Linked DNA regions of Lytechinus pictus. The protein of the gene in region 2 purifies or fractionates together with the protein of the main gene of each other region. This does not show direct contact. Links are inferred from orthologs where the notes say so. Each region holds a gene or a part of one and is shown on either strand. Other genes may lie near its edges.

Region 1 (10,376 bases), on a different chromosome or scaffold from region 2:
AAAAAAAAAAAAAAAAAGCAACACAATTTTAACATTCATTTAGTAACATGAAAATCTCCGTTAATTACAAATACGAACACTATTTATACGATAGATGCACTGCAATCAACGTAAAAACACAATAGTTCATTTGTATTTTTACAAAGATTATATTTTACTTTGTCTTTTTATATTTAACTTATAATTCTGATTGATTGATTATTTGATAACAAATTCATTTCATTTCAAAATTTCAATTAAGTTACAAAGTAAAGCTAATTATGATATAACGTATAATAAAAATGAAAAAGAAACCTGAAAAGCAAAGTTTGTTATTGAAGGTTTCCTTCAATAAATAAGACATATTAATGCAAAATACAAAGTTCAAAATATAATATACAAAATCATCATATCGTACTAGTTCAAAATAAAATATATATATATAATATACAAATCATCATATCTTTCTTGTAGAAATTAAATGTAAATCCTTGTTGAATATATTCTTTATCATATTCTCCCAAGTAAAAGATAAAGAATGCTGGATAAGGCATGAAAAAAATGTTATACAAAACAAGAACGGACAAACTTGAAAAAAGTCAAGAAACGAGTAAAAGAAAACAAACAAAAAACAAATCTCCACAGGTATAGATCAAATTAAAAGAGCCAGAGACGGAAAAGAAGCGAAATGAAGGGAGGAGGGGGGGGGGGGGGGATACGGAAGAATAGAAGATATCCTCAAGATATCCTAAGTAGAATGAATAATTTGAGTGTACGGTTATTAGTGCATGAGGTTATATTCTAATGCTCTATTGAAGCTATATTGTATGCTTATTTCGTAAAGCTAGTGAAAGTGAGTTCCAAAGTTTGATGCCAGCAGAAGATAATTATGAACAGTTTGTTTGTTAATAATGTCCTTGTTCTAGGTAAATGGAAAAGTCCAGCAGATCTTGTATAGGTTAGGGATGGATATTGATATTCCTTGTAAACATAGAATAAATACATCTGGTATAGTTCATCTCTACTAAGGTTGTATATCCAAGATTATAATGGTAAAGATCATGTATCTTATATTAAGAATACCATGAGTTTTGAAAAGAACATTCGTGTGTGCCCGATAATGAGAATGGCAAATAACGCGCAAAGCTTTTTCTGGAGTAGTAAAAGTCTATATATTCAAATGAAAATCAACACAAACACCCCATGCAATAATACAAATTCTATGTTACACAATATTATCTGCGTAAATACGTTCGGTTTGTTAAATCATTGTGTCGTCTGTTTTTAAAAGGTAAACATCCTGTAAATTACGATTTTTCTTTGTGAAATTTTAGTATTTTTAACAGTGTACAGCAGGGGCGGATCAAGGATTTTCCAAAATGGGGGGGGGGGGGCACATTTTTCCGAGGAAAAATTTGACAAGCAAAAAAAAGGGGGGGGGGTTAAAAAAAAGTGATATTTAAAAAAAGTATTCACTTTCAAAGGGGGGGGGCACACTTCTGTTTTAATGGCATCAGTTTTACATTACAAAACTTAGTTTTGCTTCTCAAAAGGGGGGCACGGGCCGGCTGTGCCCCCCCCCCCTGGATCCGCCAGTGGTGTACAGTATCATACACAATAAATTAAATTCAAGGGCACGTGCTTGAATTTGTTCATTGGAAATGAATGTGCATTTTTCGCACCAATCAGCATCGCCAAGATTAAATCGGTGGTTTCAATTGCAGTACTGAATTTAGTTTCCTTAGAACATTATTACAACTTTTGCGACAACATGCAAAAGTCTAGATTTTAACCTTGGCCCACTGAACAGATATATATTTTGACACTCAGTCCAGGGGCTTTCTAGACCTTTCATAAACATGCTAATGTCAACGTACACTGTGATGTTGCTGGCGCAATATAAGTTTTGTGATGACTGTCATACCAGGTCAAAGTATATAGGCCTATATTTACATCCCATTGGCTCAACAATGTGTTTTTTCCAATTGCCAACATTTCGCGACTGACGAAATTGTTGACTTTGTACTGATGTTGGCCCAACAATACCTTTGCGACATCGTTGGTCCAATATGTTGACACTTTGCCAACCTTTCCCTATTGTCAACATTGTGATGTTGGACGGATATCAATTTTGCGATATGGGCGATATCATAATTACGTAAAAATAAAAAAGGAGATTGTTAGCATGTTTTTTTTCTTGCAATGTAACAAGGGCAATGTTTTGGGGAAAAAAGTAAAAAATACTTCTTGCTAAATTTTCGTTTGCAGATTATATAGGCCTATTTTCTAGTATTGATATCAGTTGAAAAAAAGAAAAAGGATATAGATATTATTTTGAATTATTATTTGCTTTTTATAAAAGTTTTGTTGGAAATGAATCCAAGTGAAAAATAACAATTAAAAGACTAATTAACATTTTTTTTTCACCTGTTATGTTGAAAACTTGCTATACGTCCAGTGTATCCCCGCGGCAGATTTCACCGGGAAAACGAGAAAAGGGAGCGAGAAAGAAAGGGAAAAGGAAAGGGGAAGGAACGGAGGAAAAGGAAAAGGGAAAAGGTGAATAGAAAAAAAACATTAAAAATGGAAAACGGAAGGGAAGCGGGAAAAGGAACGAAAGAAAAACATGTGAGAAAAAACAAATCATTCCGAAATAGGCCTATTATACATTAGCATGATTACTTAGAACGGAAAATAAATTAAAAGATGATCCAAATAGCAAACAAAGGCGGGAAATTAATTTATACCCGATGGAATGAGCCAAGAGCTAATTTGGATAACGAAAAAACTCAAGGGACAAGAAAAAAAAAAAAGAACGTAATAACACGACCGGGCTGCCGAGGATTAAAAATAATTAGTAGCAGGGGGTAGAGGAAGGAAGGGATGGACTACAATTAAACTTGCTAAATTTTATGCAATAATGGTCGCAATCAGGACAAAAATGTCCCTATAGCCAAATGCTTGAAATCCTCATGTTATTATTTCGTTATAATGCCCTATACCTATATAGGCAAGCTTTACGCTGGCAAGAGTTACCGTCAAAAAGTCTTTCAAGTGTTTACTTTGGCTAAATGTCCAAAGCTACCGGGGGCTCTGCCCCATATACCCCAAGCAGTATATAGGGGCTCTTCATCTGTAACCTTCAAAGGGCTCCGGAACGACCCTGTATGGCCTCCTTCCTACATTAAACTTTTACTGGCGTGCAGGGGGGATCTTGCTTCCACACAGAAGGGGGAATAAAAAAAAATAGAAGGCAACGCAATGAAATGAATGGAAAACAATGAAATATGTTATTTGCTGAATTTAATGTAAAAATCTATCAAATAATTCATTAGAATTTCATTTCAAAAGGCCATTTTCGGGCTCGCTTCGCTCGATTTTCCCACATTACTATCTTGTGACCCCTCAAAATATTTGTCTCATTGCGCAACTGCGTTGAATTTTGTGTAAAAGATATATACTGTATGTATCTGCGATTCGATTAAAATTCTGTAAGGTTTAAAATGGCTTTGATATCAAGAGGTTCCGGTGGCTCTGCATGCGCTTCTCCCACTCGCATAGCACAGGCGGTTTGGCCATGGCCCCCAAAAGTTCTACAACCCGAACAAAAACAAAAAAAACAAAAAAAAGAAAAGGAGGAAAGAAAAGCAAAGGAAAAGTGCAAGATATGATGTTGGAGCCTATTTACTGAATATAATGTCAGAAATGTCTCAAAGTTATATTCTCATGAAAATGTTTATTTTTTTCTCGCTGGCTTCGCTCGCTCTGGACTTGTATTACGCAGCTTTTTGGCTCATGCGCCATAATACTGCAGTGCACCTCTTTTTTTGTTTTTATACTCTTCACGCTATACCGCCGCCCGCATGTATAGATCTTCGCGCACAATCATTAAAAAAAAAAGAATCCTGTTCACAGTGGCGTATCCAGACAAAAAAATTAACAAGGAAAGAAAAGGAAAGAGAGAAGGGTGAAAAATGATATCATTTTCTGAATATTATGTCAAAATCTGTCACAAAATGTGACTTTCTGCTCGCTCGCAACTTTGTTTTTTGAATAAATTCTGCCGGGTACGCCATGTCTGGTCCTCTCAAATATTTTGCCTCGTTACAACACTGCCTGTTCATATCATGATTATGACCGGCAAATTTTTGGCTCTTGCCCCACCCCCCCCCCCCCCGGCCATCGACCCCTGTTACGCCCCTGATCAATATAGAAAACCGTGTATCTCTCTCCAGAAATGGAGGCAAATATTAAAGATTGATGCACATGTACTACTTTGAAATGAAATGAATAAAGGAGACCAGTTATGGTTGTTTTACAAACAAAAAAATAGGTAAATATATTTACTGTAGTGGCCCAACGCTGAAAATTTCATCAAAATTGAGAAAGTTATGACATTTTAAAGTTTCGCTTAATTTCACAAAACAGTCATAAAATGCAGATCCTGGTCGGTATGCGAATGAGGACACTGATGACGTCATCCACTCATATTTCTTTTGTATCTTATTATATGAAATTTTCTCCTAATTGTCAAGTGAAACACGATTAATTCCCCCATAAACATGTGCAATTCATTATCATTGTTTAACGCTATACATGTGTGGTTCAGTCAAGTTGGTCCCTTATTGTCATACTTATCTGTAAAAAATGAAATATTGTATAATTCAAACAAGTACAATAAAACAAAAGAAATAGTGAGTGAGGGTCTCATTTGCATATCACTGTGTTGTGCATTTCAGTGTTTTGTGAAAAATAACAGAGCCAAACTGAAATGTCAGTCATTTGCGATTTTGATGAAATTTAAGCGTTATGCTAGTTTGATTTTTCTATATTTATTCAAATCAACATTTTCTGGGGTGGACTTGACCTTTCACTATATGAAGATGAAAGAGGCACTCGAGTGAAAAAGTTAGTAAGCCGGGTGCACTGTTTTTCTAATAGGGGCATTTTTTAGTGCTTCAGCCGCCCGTGGATTAAAACTAATTTGTAACAGCTAGGGGTATCAATAAATTTTAATTCTTCAGTATGGACTTGCATGCCGAGATATCAGTTGGAAAATTTTCAAGGAATATTTTTTTGATATTGTAAAATAATTCAAATTTTATCGGTCATTTAACAATGGTTGAATTTTAAAGATATTTCTAATATTTCCATTTTCTTTTTTATTCTCTTTTAACCTTGTTTCTTTAATTTCTCCTAATCTCTTCCCTTTCCTCCGTATATTTTTATTTTTGTTTTGTAGGCCGACGGGAGTGGGGACGTGCCTAGTTATGCAATTGCCTGCGCGCTGCGTATGAAATCAACCACTCTCTTGAACTAAATCTGTTTGGCCTTTTTTAGCTACGTACATGTGGTCTCCGATCCGCCCGCCCGCCGCGCCGCCGCGCCCCGGTAGCTAGAGCTAGCTCGGCCTCCGCGGTCTTTCTTGCACAAATTTATATGCAGCAACGGTTCATTTTGTATGCATATATCCACGAAGAAAAAAAAATGGCCACACATCTTGTCAGTGGACGTGTGAATTTAGCCTTTTGGAGAGAAGTTGCCAGAAGAGAACTCTTAGATTGTTTGGACAAATGCATAGGGAGTAAGGTGAGTTTGATTGATGTACTGCTTAACTTAGATTAGAATTCGTTTACAACAAATTTACAAATTTACAAATTTAACGAGTAGGCCTAGGCCTAGGTCTAACTTTAATTACGTTCCACGACTCTGACGAGCCTGTTGTGTGACTGGGGCATATGATTACGGGAAAGGGGGGGGGGGGGGGGGTGGACTTGAGGGGGGTGGACTTGGGTGTGTCAGACTCTGTTGTAATTGTATTGAACATGTTGAACTGGATATCGGTTCAGCTCAGCTATACATTATTAGGCCTGGGGGGTTAACAAGACAAAAAAAAAACGACGGGCCGGCTCTTCGATTTTTGTCTTTATTTCATAAAAATATAGGCCTATATTATAGAACTGGACCAAAATGAAGATTAATATTCAGTTTTGGCCTTAAATACACACACAAAAAAAAACTTTTTAAAGGGGGGAAAAAGTGACTTACTTCAGTCTATAATTTGTGAGTGGAGCCAACAGAGTTCAGCAGAACAACCAATAAAACTGAGACCAAAGCTTTTGGTCTAAGTTAGGGGTGATTGTAAATTTACACCTTTTTTGTTTTATGCAGGCCAGTTACGTTGCCAGTCGTTGGTATCTAAATCTAATGTTTTACAGGAATAACGTCGTTTCTGGGGATTTATTAAAACAATTTTGTAACAAAAATGTGACATTTATGTAAAAAAAAAAACAAGTCCTCAAAACAAAAGAATTGTGATATTTAATATTTAATAAAAGAAATAAATAAGCATGATACTGATTATTTTTTTTAATTGGTCCTAAAAAATTATTAAATTGAATATTCAAATCAATTCAATTCAAATTTGACAAAATATTCATCAAATGAAAGTTACAATCAAAATTTCACTTGGGATTTTTTTTTATTGTTAGCACAACAGGTCACTAGTCATACATAACTTTTGTTTATGAACCATATTACCGTATTCTTCTGTCGATCATCATTTTACATGCAGGCAGTGGTCTGGGATGATTTTCTTACGGGACCTATTGGGCTCATCGCTGAATATTCCTTGTTAAAGGTAGGTTGTCTACAGCTGTATAATGATCGATGAAGGTGTTATTGCTCTTGCACTACAACATTAGTTGTGGGAGGTCAAGCTGACAAGAAGACAGTCTTGATGAAGAAGAAATAGAATAAAATAAAAAAAGAGGTATTTGAAAATAATGTTCTATCTCTGAATACCGTTAACACTGGTATCTATGCAGTGCCATTGTACCTTCCATCTAACATTGAAGACGAGTTCACTTGGACACACAAAAATACCATTAAAAAAATAACTTTCTTCCTTTGTCATTGTATGGTAGTAGGGTAGCATATAGGCCATAGCTTGTACATTGAATAAAGTTTGAGCTGTTCAGAAAGTCTCATTTGTCTAGTTTATAGATACTATGTCAAAGAAATTATAACAAATTTACATCATTTTTGTCATGTAAGTAGTGCCAAATTCATATCTCTTCATTTAGGAACATGAAGTTGACCGTATGTTCCCCCTTCGACATGGTCATCTGCCTTTGAAGAGTTCGTCCAGTGGTGCAGGTGGTACTATCCAGAATGTTATATTCATTGTGCGCCCTCGATTGGACCTGATGACAATTGTTGCAGACAATATCCGCAAGGCGGAGGAAACCCCTGGACGCTTCCGCAAAGAGTTCCACATTTTCTTTGTGCCAAGGAAGAGTCTTCTCTGTGAGAGAAAGTTGACGGTAAGTTCCCTAACATTGAAACAGCTTAAAACTCAGGGATTTTATGGTCATGGAGAGACCTGTATCGGCCGCACAGAAACGCTGTTAGCGTAACATTGCACTAAGAAAGGGACCTGTTACAACTGGTAATTTCGTCGCGATGGCTAATGTCAAAGTAATGCATTATTTACATCTGGGATCAATGCTTGACATCACAATCTGTATATCATTATTCATTAACAAATCAGCTACTAACAACATGGGTAGAATGACCGCACAGTCAGAAGGCACATAAAGCACTGTTAAGGCACCGTTAGGCACAAGTGTTGTTAGGGGATTTGAGTTAGGCAAAATCTATAATTTGTGCGTAGCGATCTAGATTTAACTTAAGATTTAGTTATGATTATTTGCACATCCTACGAGTTTAAAATCTTGTCTAGGAAAGGGTAAAGGAATGTAATTAATTGTTATATAGGCCTAAAAAATTTCCTTATTATTACATTTTAAACATGAAATGACAGCAAGTATATATTTACTAATTTAATTTTTAAAATATTGAAAAGGATTTAAAAGATCAAGAAAATTAGCCTATCATGATATTACGATGGAGATTCTGTACAAAAAAAAATGCAATCCCACTTATCATCAGTTTATTTGTTTGAAAATGCTCTTCACAGACTTCACTTATCATGCTCATGATAGAGTATTTGCCAGTGAGGATTATCATATGATAAATTTCATCAGCTATTGTTCTTCTTTCTAATGTAGGGTCTATTCTTAAAAATGTCTTCAATAAAAATATCTTGGAAGAAAAAAATATTGATGAAAAGGATCATATCTTGGCACTAATCAACATCTCCCGCTGTATACCCATACTTATAGGGGTACTCCAGGCTGAAGAAAATAATACGGTTTGAACAGTAAAGTGAGACAAATAAAACACTGACAAATTAATAAAAATTGGAAATGAATATAACAAATTATGGTATATTAAAATTTTGCATGAGGCCCTATTTCGGTGAAATTTGTATTCATGTCTTCAGGAATATGCAATGAGAGTCTGTTGTATCATACAAAATTAGATTTATTTAAATTTTGTCCACCCAGAATATTGCTTCAAAGATCGGGCGACATACACACATTTGAGACAATTACGAGTTCATTTCAATAAAATCAGAAAAAGGGGAAAGAGCTAGAGGATATGGCATCATCGTTCCATTTATTGCATATTCATGGCCACATGCTGCTCAGTAATATCATTTGCAAAATACAGTATTAAATTTTTAATATTAAAGAATTTTGTTATTTTTTAAATCAGATTTTGATGAAATTCGGTCGAGGTCTATTTTAAATTACTTGGTATAAGAAGAAAGGGAGACAAGTTTTAAAGGGAGAAATTATTCACTAACATCGTCACTATTGGTGCCCTTGGCACTGTTAGTGATTTGTATTAACATTAGCGCCACTGTTAGCTTCTGCTGGGCCTTTTATTGTTAGATTATTAGGAATTCGGCTAAGCTTCTGTGAGTTTATCGATATCGGTAGGTCTACTTTTAGTGCTCTGTTAGTGAAAACAATGCATCTAGGCGGTGGTCGCCCGTGAAAGATGTGACTGGCCCTACTGTTAGTGTTTTTTTACGCTAACAATGCTTCTGTGCAGCCGCCCCTGGGTGTTTGTTAAAGCCAAATTTTCATAAAGTTTGGTATGCATCACCTTACTAATGACTAGAATGTGGCAAACCAATATTTTTTTATCACTAAAGACAGATTGTACAGATGCAACATCGGGTAAAATATTGATGTGCATTTTGGTGCGTCTAAAACCAGTTGCTATGAGAGAACTAAGACAGTGTTATGAAACTGACCTGGACTGAAATGTAAATTCTTTAGAATTAAACTACTTATTCTACAAACTTCTTTTATTAGTAAAGGTGGTATGTATGTAGGGGATCACTGTTTTGCCAGCCATAGGCTTATATTGTAATTCCCCATCCACATATATGTGCTTTACATTTTATAAAATTGATAATTGAATTGAATTTAAATTGAATGATAATATATCCATTTATATAGCGCAATTCTACTATGTGCATATATTCTCATGCATTTGACACTCGGTTGGCAGCTTATCCAGTTGTGCCTTACAGCAGTTGCTCTCTGACAGGTATTTATAATGCTTTTCACAAAAAGCTATGTGTAGTGTAATTCACTCTCTATGAAAACTACTTGATTTCAAGCATCTTTTACATTCACCAAAAATAAAATAAAAGCTTATGATGTCACCACCTCATCTATGAATTGTTTTATACCAATTCTAACGGATTCTCCCTTTCCCTTGCAGGAGCTTGGGGTTTATGGAACACTGACTACAGTAGGAGAATATAATCTGGATCTTTTACCTTTTGATAGTGATATATTATCTATGGAGTCCGATTCTGCCTTCAAGGTTTGTATATATGTACTCTTTAATAGATGTTGGTAGGTGAGGGGGTGGGTATGGGGGGGGGGGGGTGATTAGCCGGCTCTACCTTAGCTGTGGCATACATAAATGTATTCATGATATTTAGAGTTACAGCGTAATGTGCCATCGAAATGAGCATTAGTTCTTGAATCCCTGATTCATGAGAAAATGTGATCATCCAATAGAAAAGAATTATTGGGTTTTTCATGAAATAAATGATTCATACTTTATTACAACCCAAGAAAAACAAAAAGATTGTTGTTGAGTAATTATGTTTAGAAATTGAATAAGTTGAGATCTGTCAGATATTTTAAGGGAATTTGTTCCAAAGAGAGTGATGAAAAATGAAATTGATGAAATGCATTTTTATTTTTATTTTATTAAACCCAAATCTTGTTAATTTTTTTGGGTATTTTGTTTAGGACTGTTATCTCCAAGGTGATCCTACTTCCATGTTCCATGTTGCCAAGTCATTGATGAAAATACAAGCTCTCTATGGCATCATTCCACATATATATGGAAAAGGAGAGTGTTCTCGGGTAAGTAACATGTGACCTTCTGTCTCAATACCAACAATATATTGCCCACCAAGATTTCTGTAATTGACAAAATAGTAATTTATCTTCCAAAAT
Region 2 (11,166 bases):
TGAAATGTAGTCCTCAAAATGTCCCTGTTTGGGGTCAATGTATACAAAAATTTCAGCTCGCGCTTCGCGCTCGCATTGTTTGTTTAGTGAGATAGATATGTATCATGATTACAAAAATTTGCTTATAATGTCCCTTTTTAGGTCTGAATATAAAAACAAATTCAGCTCGCGCTCGCATTATGCGGTCAGTGAAATACATATCCGTTTAATGGCACTGTCCTTAAAATGTCTATATTAGGTCAGTTTATCTGGCAACTGAGCGCGCTTCGCGCGCTCACTAAGTGACTAAAAAAATTTCTGGTGCCCCCCCAATGCCGTGACCCACGGTACGCCACTGTCAGACAGGATATTTTTCCCTGCATTTGTTGCTTTGTTACCACAATAATCATTATGATGGCAATCATTTCCATCTCCATCTGTCTTTGGCAAATTGTAGTTTGTAGTTGTTATTACTAGCCACTATGGCCCTTATTCTGAAGTCAGGTTTAACTTAGACCATTAAACTCTGTGCTAAAATTATGGGAAGCCAAAAGTGTCAAAATTTTTCTTAAGTTGTATGTTTCTTATGTTTACTGTGCTCTTTCCTGATTCATCGATGGTGAAGACAATCATCTATTCATACTTTCTACACAATTATGAATGATTTGAGAGCCAAATGAGGTGAAATATTATATCTCTACTGTTAGTGATTTATGTAACAATTGGCTATCCATACTTAAACCACAACTTTAAACCCGAGTTTAAGTTACACCCGACTTCAGAATACGGACCTATGGAATTAAATGATGTCTTTCACATATTGTCTTCCTCTCCTTCTCTTTGTTTAACATCAAATAACCTTTCCACTGTCCAATTGTATATATGAATACAAGATCAAACCGAGTCCCATCTCTTGTATAAATTCAATTAAACATGAGTAATGATATACATGCATGAGCCCATTGTGTTTGTTGTAAGATTTCCCAAAAAGCAAACTGGATATACCAAAACTGAATGAAAAACAAAATAAATCCTAATCCTCACTAGACAGACAAGATCTCTTTTTTAATATTGACTTGAAATAAACTGTGATGCACCTGGGTGCTTTTGATATTCAGCATTCTGCACTCCTTTTTTTCATAGTATGCATAACAAACTGGAGTTGGCAAAATGATGTAAAAGGAGAGATCGACACATGTCCTACCACGATGTATGCTACACCAGGGTAATGATAGGAAGTGTCAGGAGTAACACAAGTGTTCTTATCACATCCATTCGCGATCATGATCGCATCATCTTCAAAATTCTTCTCCTTGTATTACATGCAATTAACGGTTCTGCTCCACAGTACAATATTAATCTAATTAACAAATACACTGTCAGGTCCCTACGTTCATCCATCTCTGGTTACCTACATGTAGTTATTCCCAAATCCGTTAAGACATGGGGGGTTTGGGCTTTTGCTCACGCTGTCCCTGTTCTCGTGAATGATCTTCCCCTGGTTATCCGTGAATGCACTTCCACTGACACATTTAAACATTACCTTAAGACACGTCTATTCAATGCTTCCTATTCTTAATTGTTCCTGAATCTATCAATAATATATTTGTAAGTTTTTCTTTCATTCTTTCTTTCCCTGCGCCTTGGGCACTCTGCCGAGTGGATTTGGCGCATTACAAATCCCATATACATGTGTATTATAATTATTATTATCATTATTATTATTGAACCCACCCACAAATAATTGTATAATCTTACCAGTCACTTGTCCCAATGTAGAGATTCTTTCCACAGCATTCTATACATTCAATCTATAGGAAAGAAAGATGAGACAAAAGGAGGACAAGACAAAACAAAATAAAAAAATTTGTTCTCTCATTTCCCTCCAGTTTGTCTTGTTCCTACCTCTAACTTCTTCAACTATTCTACCCTCCTTCTTTGTTTCCCCTTTTTTTCTAAAAATATCTCCTCATATATCCTACTGCTGGCTCAATTTAAGTAAGGATATGAAATATAATTTTCCTGGTTATCACATTGCAATCTAGTCCAAATTCTTTATAGACTGCTACACAAAAAGTCCTTTGTGTAGCAGAAGTTCTTTTTGTACGAGAAAGCAAAATTTTTCCTTCAGAAGGCTCAAATCATTATGAAAATGATATTTAATCGATCGAAGAAAACAAAAAATATTTGCTATTCTTTCAAGTCTCTGCTATCTTCAGGAACATACAAACATGACATCTACATCAAAGTAAAAGTAAGTTGAACTTACTGAAGTTTTGCTTGTTCTCTCCCCAAGTAGCTTCAACCTCTCTACGGCTGGAACCAGTTCAAAAGCTTTCACACTCATCCTTGAAGTGCCTTGTGATATGATGTCGTGGTAATTTTTCTATAATAAACAAGTCCAGAAAAACGATAAACATATCTAGAGACCCACCATAGCAAGTTACATAAAAAAACCTACATGTGCAAGTTGCAGTAGCCATTCATTCGCACCCGCATTACCCTCAAGGCAACTGTCAAATCTGGGCAGATCGGTTTTATAATAAAATTTGAAACTTGATTATTTCACAATTTATGAAATAATAATTTTTATCCATCAATTGTTCTTCAAAACGGCATCGCTAATCGGATGTACGTCATAACGAAGCGGTTCACAGGTCAGACCTATTGTATTTGCTTTGTCACCGTACTTTGTGTAGGTGTGTTGCAAAAGCGCCCTCTAGGTGCATTCTGAATGAAGCATTGAGTGTGCTGCCTATAATCTCAGGGTGACTGTGGGGGCATTGCTTTGTATTGTGTTTGCATGTGCATGGAAAGGTTATTCCCCATGACATCATTGTTTTTACGTAGTTGAATGTTTATGGCAGCTGTCTAGACTTGAAAAAAACTCTCACTCGGTGATCTTGCGACTCTGTGTGCTACTGGAACTTTGGCCTTGCTTTCAACCTCTGAGTCTTGCTATTCATATTTACAGGTATCATCCCAATTTAAAAGGTACATTCATTCCGATAGAGCAACATTTTAACTATATTGTGGTGAAATTTGAATGAAATCAACTGACGCTAAGTGTGTTTTTTAAGTCCCTGTTTCGGCGGCTTCTGTAATTTTTGAGAGTGTTGTTGGGCATTTCCATATGCCAATGTATGCGCATTGCCATTGGTGTTTTCTATTACTTAGTGTACCTTGGTCCCAATTAAGATCACAACTTTTGGCTTAAAAAACAAAGGAATACATAAGAATTGAATAGGCGATTTATACGACCTTAAAACTACAATAACTTTCTTATTTCTGGGGCTATTGAGATAAATGAGGTGTTAGATTATTTAAACTAAAGGTCTTGGGAAGGATGTTTTAATTGAAGTTGAAGTTGATGAGCTCTAAATAATGCCATGAAGAAAACACCTTATTTCTGAGATTTATTTTTTTTGCAACATACCGTACTTTGACCCTTTTTTTTTTTGTCTTTGTTGACAAACGGATTGAAGGATCTACACGAGATCAGTCTGGTACGTAAAAAACCTCTCATTTTTGCCATTAAGTGAAATAATTTGGCATTATCGTGATATTGGGAACCACCGTTCACTTCATACAGCAGTGCTTTATTCAGTCACATGCACGGTTCCCTATTTCCACCTCCATTCACTTTGTCTTTGCACACAAGTGCGCGTATACAAATCGACAAGTACGAGTGGTTCCCGAAACCACGATTTGGCCAATATTTAATAATTTTATCCCTTAACTTAAGTTCATACGCATTTGAAGGTTCAAATATCAAAAAAATTCACACCTATAAACCGATTTCACCCTGTGTGTAAATATGGATACAGAGACTTCAGTCCAGAGACAGAGTAACTTACCGTACTGAGTTAGTAGTCGAGCCCGCAGACAAAACAATTCACAACGCCCACTTTGGTTTTTAGTGATTTTACCCACGCAAAATTGGATGCATGGGGCCGAAGACAACAGAACCAAACAACTTTCAAAATTGGGTGCATGAAATTACCTCCGTGAGTGTTCTTAATGACAGAAAACAATATTATAAGAACATGAGACTCACATGTTCTAAGCCTAAGGCCTGGTTTGTATCATAAATTGGGAGCAAGACTCCGAGGGTCGACGTCCGGGATTTTGATTCGGTGAATTTACGACAGAATTTTGAGACTATACCGGTCACGATCGGAGAGGACGACACACAAAACATCAAGAGTTGACGCATTGATTCCCAGAAGGAAAAACCAGTAAGACCATTAAGAATTTTTACTGGTTTCCAGTAGAATTTTACTGGTTTCCAGTATATTTTTACTGGGCCAGTTGATTTTTAACTGGACCAGTAAAAATCAACTGGAGACCAGTTCAAACAATTGCATTCCAGTTGAAGCAAAGTAGTAATACCAGTTAAATTGTTTTTCATCAAACTGGTATTACTGGTCCAATAAATAATTACTTTATTTCAAGTCAGATCATTTGACGAATTATGGAAAATGAATCTTGCAATTCAGAGAAAGTTATTATCGTTATCATTTTTATCATCATTCTTCTTATAATTATCATAATGATTATTATTATGATCATTGTTGTCATAATTCTTATTACTGTTATCATTGTTATCGATATTGTAATAATTATTATTAATATTATCATAATTATCAAGTATTAACATTATCATTAAAATAATTATTTCCTTTAATTATGATTAAGATCAAAGCAAGATATTTTCCTCTGTTATAGTCAACTGGTCTAAAGTAATTCATTGTTTGAAATTAAACTGGTCAAGACCAGTAATCTGATGATGCTGATCACGTGGTTTACCTCATTTGCATATTTCCTATTTTAAAAAGAAAAATCGGGATTTAGAATGGAATATCCTTGCAATGGCACTCATTGTTGTTTAAAAACTTTCCAAATATTGGATATTACAGGGGCCGCGGGCTATGGGGCTTCAACCCCACCTTTTTTCTCCAAAATCGTGTACAAAAACGTAAAAATTACCATCTGATAGTGATTTTTTGCATGGTCAGCCTTCCCAAGCCCCCCCCCCCCCCCCCACCCCCACTCTCAAAACCATTCCGTCGCCCCTGCATTAGACCAGCTAGATTTGAGACGACATGGTCATACAGTCGAACTGGTGTTTAGACGAAGTGATTGGGACAAAATGGTTGTTAGACAAAATTCCTGATGGACGGTATAGACGAAAAGAAGATAGATTCTGTGATGAGTGGACGGGTGAAGATCGAGTTGGCGATAAAAGAAAATCTCTACCCCCTCTCTCTCCCTCCCTCTCTCCCCTCCCTTTTTTTCTCTCTCTCTCCTTGCTCCCCCTCTCTTTCCATTTCTCTCTGACTCACTCACTCTCTCTATTAAATCAAATCACGTTATATTAGCAGGGGACAACAAAATTGCTGTGCGAGAATAGGGTCTTTAATAGCTTAACAGTACATGATAATGGGGGAAACAAGAATACTTTAAGCAGAATGGATATAACAATCCACTGAGTATACAATCTGCTATACATAATCAAAATTTGCGAGGAATAATTTTTGTCAAATTTATAATTAGTCGTTTTATATACTTAGGGCAGGGTTTCACCTGACGGTATGTTGAAGTGCCACATTCGTTATCGGATATCAATATTGTGCCATTGATTGATTGATTTGATTTATTTATTCCGTTTTGAATAAGGGATATAATATAGGTTTTCCCGTCGAATTTTGTAAAAATCAACCAATTTAATGATGTAATAATTCAATTTGCAACTAATTTGAAAGACTTAATTTAATTAAGCATTTGACCCTTTAAATGTTGATCTTATACATGTTATATTAAATATAACATGTATAAGATCAACATTTAAAGGGTCAAATGCTTAATTAAATTTAATTTTGTTTATTATTTAAACATGTATAAAGAACGATCAAATTGAAATAGCTGAAAAAGTGTTTTCAAATTATCACCGGTACCCTCCTTGCGAACGTTTAGGAATTCAAAATCATAAATATGCAATTACTTATAGGACATGGACAGTGTTTTTCGTAGGTGTTTTTTTTACGTCTTTTGAATAAATATGGAAATGGGATTACTTTGAAATTGGATGTTCAATACCATGTTTCTCATCCCTTTCCCAACACAATATAAATCATAATTATGTAAAAAAAAGAAGAATAACCGTTTACACCCATATATCCTATAAGTGTTACATGAATTACGTCTTTATCAAAGATAATGGAATAAAATGAATCTAACTAAAAAGATCAGAAAAAATAGAAAGAAAAGATAAAGTTTGAACAAATATTGTATAAAGTAATAAAAAATGAACACGAACATGTTATCTGAATTTGGACGTTTAAAGTGCAAATATGTGTCCCGATAAACGAAATTGAAAATAGTATTTAAGGCGAAATTAAACGATCGATCAGCCCGTCGTAGCGAAATTCAATGACAACTTTGGGCCATTAATTTGAACGAATCTCTCTCTAAATTGAATTTCTACAAATTCAAAGGAATGATATAAAATGGAATTGAATGCTGTATAAATTAAAATTGAACCATGTGTGCAGAGGGTGGACAAAAATCTTTCGAATTTGAACGTCCTTTTACTAATTTAAATGCATTTCTGATGAAATTGGACGGGAAAACCTTTATAATTCAAACAATTTTAATGAGGATTGGTAAAAACGGCGAAATTATGTTCGTGGATGTTGTGGCCGGCCATTAAAAATTTCAATCTTAACCAAATTCTGATACAGTACACCATGACATGGTTGATTCAACAGCAGACCTATTATTGCGTCAAGTCCCCAAAATTCAAAAGAATTCACCGAAGACGAAATCCAATACACAAAAAGCTCAAATAAAGTAAGGGCGTTTCCACACGCGAATCTTGAATCATCAATGCAATAATGATTGCAATTGCAGTCGTGACTTTGATTATCGTTCGTGATTCTAATATTAGGTTCTAGTTTGATTTCACACGTGCTAAATATTCGTCATTAGCCTTATTTTTTTCACTGGAATCATCATTCAAATTACGATTGTTTTTACCTTGTGAAAGGGTGGTATGAGGGCTAGGTGTAGTCCGTCTCGCGTTAATTAAAAGGAATTTGATATTTCATATGATTTTTTTTTTAATAGTCGAAATAGCAAATTATCATGTTGGTGTAGCTTGTCAGGATTAGCACACTTTAATTTCATTTCGTTTTATCTCTTCTCATTTTAAAGATTGAAAATGTACCTTCAGAAGATTCAGTCTGAATTCTACGAAATTTGAATTTACTTTAATGGCATCCTATAATAATAATGGTACTTATTCATCGTAACTCAAGCAAGCAGATACAAAATGATTTACAGAGTACTATATAAAATTACTAAATTACAAAACATTATTACGATAGCAGAAATTCTGAATTGTAGTAACAATGTTTACACGATAGGTGGCCTGTAACAAATTCCAAATACGTATTATAATTAAATATTAAAAAGTATCAAGGGAATGTGCACTTACAATATAAAAATAAATAGAGAGGGGAAAACAAAAGAATGGCCGAGAAAGAGAGTCGGGAGAAAATTAATAGAAGAGAGAGGGTGTGGTAGTCAGGAAAACAAGGTGGAGTCTGAAGAGATAGTGTGAGAGAGCAGGGGGAATAAAGAGTAGGAATAAGAAAGGGTAGCCAGAGCTATACAAGACATAGAAAGATAAAAAGGCGAAGGAAGCAGACAATTGCGAACAGAAAACATAATTCTCACAACTGGTAATACAATACTGGTAATACAATACAATACAATACAATAGTATAACTGGTAATACAATACAATAGTATAATATCCGGTATAATATACATGTCCGAATAAGAAACAGCATCTAGTGATCTCATTGTGTAAGCTTTGTGGAAATAGGGTATATATATCCGGAATAAAAGGACACCAATACTGTGATGTGAAATAGCAATAAACTCCCTACGCTGAATTTTCCATAAGCACATTGTATGAGATCAATTGAATCCTGTGCCATTCGCCATCAACCACTACAACTGCGTTGTTCTTCCTATCAACACAAAGTCCTCTCAAGTAGTTGAAAGTCCACCATCCTCGAGTGACATCTCCAATCGGTTTGTGGTCTTTATCCAACACCGTCACTGTCTCATCCGTGTAAAGTAGACGAGAAGTATCGGCGCGAGCAGTGATGAAGATGTTGTCATCCTTGTCAATGGCAATGCCTCGGTAATGCCAAGACAGTTTTGAAGTCGGGATTGTTACGCGCTCTTTAAATTTACCATCTTGATTAAAGATACGAATAGCCTTAAAATCTGCAACATATAGGCGATTCTTTGAGTTGAATGCAATGAACCATGGACTGTCTAAGTTACCTTCTCCTATCTTGTGGGCAAACTTCCCGTTCATGTCGAAAACATGAATACAATTCATCCCCCAATCTGCTACGTACACCTTTCCATCTCGCTTTGCAATGCCAGTTGGGTTCGTGAATTTTGCATAACCTTTGGTCCATTGAGTTAGCTTCCCATTTTTCAACTCGTACACGCATCCTTTGCTCTGCTTACCCATATCCGTTATTAGAAAATTGTCATCAACTTCTGACAAAGCAAGGATGCCGTAAGGTAGAAAGTTCTTCTGGGAGCAGAGGACTGTCCAAAATGAATTACTTGGGTTGATAGCAACTACACGGTTGTTATACGTATCCGCCACGACATAGTTGTCCTTGTGCAGCACAACACCATGAGGTCGATTCAGCTGGGCTTTGAGAGGAGTTTGGAACAGAGTTGACATTGCCATGATCAGGGTTCTAATGATACCCTGGAAAAATAAAAAAAGTGATAAATCTCCGTTAAGCAATTGTTGCTCAAGCAAGTTTTGATCCTGCATGGGTATATGGCCCTGGACCAGTGGCGTACCTAGGATTTTCCACAGGGGGGGCAAAATCGACCGCCCAAAAAATTGACAAGCAAAAAAAAAAAAAATAAAAAAAAAAAGGTCTTCAATCAAAAATAAAGGTTATTGTACCAGAAAAAAAAATGACAAGCAAAAAAAAAAAAAAAAAAAAAAAAAAAAAAAAAAAAAAAAAAAAAGGGCTTCAAGCTCGTCAGGGGGGCAATAAAGGTCTTCAAGCTCGTAAGGGGGTGGGGGCATAAAAGGTCTTTCAAGCTCGTCAGGGGGGCAGTGATATGTATTTTGTATGGGTTGTGGCTCGTCAGGGGGGGGGGCAGAGTGCCCCCCCTGCCCCCCTGTAGGTACGCTAGTGCCCTGGACGATTCCTAATTCGCTCGACAAAAAAAACGCTGCTGTGTACTTGCTACGTTTCTTGTTATAGCCATGTAGGTTTTATTTAGAGGTGTTGTGCCTCAGTGAAAGAGTCTCCAGAATTTGAACCACAAGGTCCAGGACCCCAAACCCACAACAGCACTCGCGTCCTTGCAGTGAAAATAGTTTAGTCCCCTCAATCAATTAGTGTCCCTACCCCCGACAGAAGTAAGTCATGAATATTTTAACATCTGTACGATGATCGAAGAGACATGCAAGACGGTGATGTTCCGTGCTAATTGGTCTCTTGAAAATCATAGTTTAAGCCTTCACATTTTCGAAGGAGTAATGTATTTCGATCCAGCACAAACGTATTTTTGAAACGCAAACTTATATATTTATATATATCACCGAGTTCATTAATTTTGTCTTCAGTCCAAGTAAATAATGTAGATCGCCGGGTGTGCATGCGCATTTGTGTGTTTTTCAGGTCCAATCAACAAATGCCATTGATTATGTAATTGAAAATCATCAAAATCTCTTTTTATCTCTTTTTTCATTCTCCCTTCTTCTTTTCTCGCCTTCGTCATGCATTAATTCTCAATTCCGTGGGTGACGATCTGTGTTCATGGTTTTGGGGGATGACTGATACAAAATATTTTTTTTTTCGGGGGGGGGGGTACGCCTTTAGTGGGTCTCAATATTTTTAGGGCCAGACATGGCGGAGAGGGCGAAATCTTTTTAAAGCTACAAGTAAGCCAAGCGCGAATTTTACAATCTAACCTTGGTCATTTCCGGTCATTTTTACATGATATTTCAAAATATTTATCAAAGTGCACCATTTTCTTTTCCATTCCTAATTCTCTCTTTTTTGGGGGTTCTTTTTGATATTCTGATTATCATTTCGCTTGTATTCTCCAACTATTTTACATCATGAGCCTGAATGAATAAAAAAAATAAAAAATGACTAAATAGATAAACTAAAATAGATGAATAAATAAATAAATGAATAAATAAATAAATGAATAAATAAATAAATCAGTGATCGATACTCAAAATGGGGTAAAATAAACTGGGTACAGCCAATGCGCTTAATAATAGTTGCAGTGACGGGTAAATTTCAAAAAGATAATGCCATGTACAACATATAACATGAACATTCCAGTTTATCCTAGCTGGCCTGGATTTTTACTTTCTTTCTCTATCCAGTTGTTTCTTGCGGTTTCTGAAATGAACGGTTACATTATGAAATAGCAATTAACATAAAAAATAGATTCATAAAGCCAATGATTCCCCCCCAAAAAAATCACCCACAGAGAACAAAATTTGTGTCAGTCAGCCCCACCCATGAATACCAATGACATCCATGAAAGGGAGAAAAAAGAATAAGAGAGAATTAAAACAAAGAGAGAAAGAGTGATGTTGATATTGTAACAGATATTGTAATTTCCAATTAACAAAATCATAATTATACTTTGAAGTAACATAGATCGGAGCCACATCGAGCAGACAACCCCGTGACAACACACAGCAAATTCACATGCACACCCACGTCACATAAATTGGACTGTCAGTCCCGGGGGGGGGGGCAGTCAAATGTATTGCTGTACACACGCGTGACCAAATTATTTCCAAACATCCCCAAACGAGTTTTTCTCTGTGTGCAAAATAACCCCCTAAACAAGTTTTTCGCGGGCTTATTTACACATTTTGACCCCTAAACAAGTTGTCGCCAGAATATGACCCCGGGGAAAAAGCTTGGGGAAACATGTCCTAAAAACGTGTTTTTTGTCACGCGTGTGAACAGCAATAAACAAAAGCGTTTTAAGGGGCGTCGATCCCCCCCCCCCCCCAGTTTTGGACGCGGGCCGCGCTTGCACTTGTTAAGGGTATCTAGTAGCTTGTTCAGTAGAGAGTGTGCCTCAACGGCGACTGACT

Evidence for each region. The genes of interacting proteins can lie anywhere in the genome.
Region 1: the proteins of transforming growth factor-beta receptor-associated protein 1-like (region 2) and vacuolar protein sorting-associated protein 33A-like purify together in Homo sapiens (co-immunoprecipitation; 5 studies listed by BioGRID and IntAct, with this or other methods). This does not show direct contact. The link is inferred for Lytechinus pictus from reciprocal best matches to the Homo sapiens genes TGFBRAP1 and VPS33A.

What each region holds. Positions count from the first base shown.
Region 1 is NC_087246.1:16,837,333-16,847,708, reverse strand, and holds the start of vacuolar protein sorting-associated protein 33A-like, read left to right. Parts: upstream 1-5,207; 5' UTR 5,208-5,418; coding exon 5,419-5,568; intron 5,569-6,553; coding exon 6,554-6,619; intron 6,620-7,064; coding exon 7,065-7,304; intron 7,305-9,624; coding exon 9,625-9,729; intron 9,730-10,166; coding exon 10,167-10,283; intron 10,284-10,376.
Region 2 is NC_087250.1:18,850,819-18,861,984, reverse strand, and holds the start of transforming growth factor-beta receptor-associated protein 1-like, read right to left. Parts: upstream 4,195-11,166; 5' UTR 4,181-4,194; coding exon 4,037-4,180; exon of another isoform or gene 3,837-4,036; intron 2,366-3,836; coding exon 2,249-2,365; intron 1,791-2,248; coding exon 1,738-1,790; intron 1-1,737. UniProt on the Homo sapiens protein: Plays a role in the TGF-beta/activin signaling pathway. It associates with inactive heteromeric TGF-beta and activin receptor complexes, mainly through the type II receptor, and is released upon activation of signaling.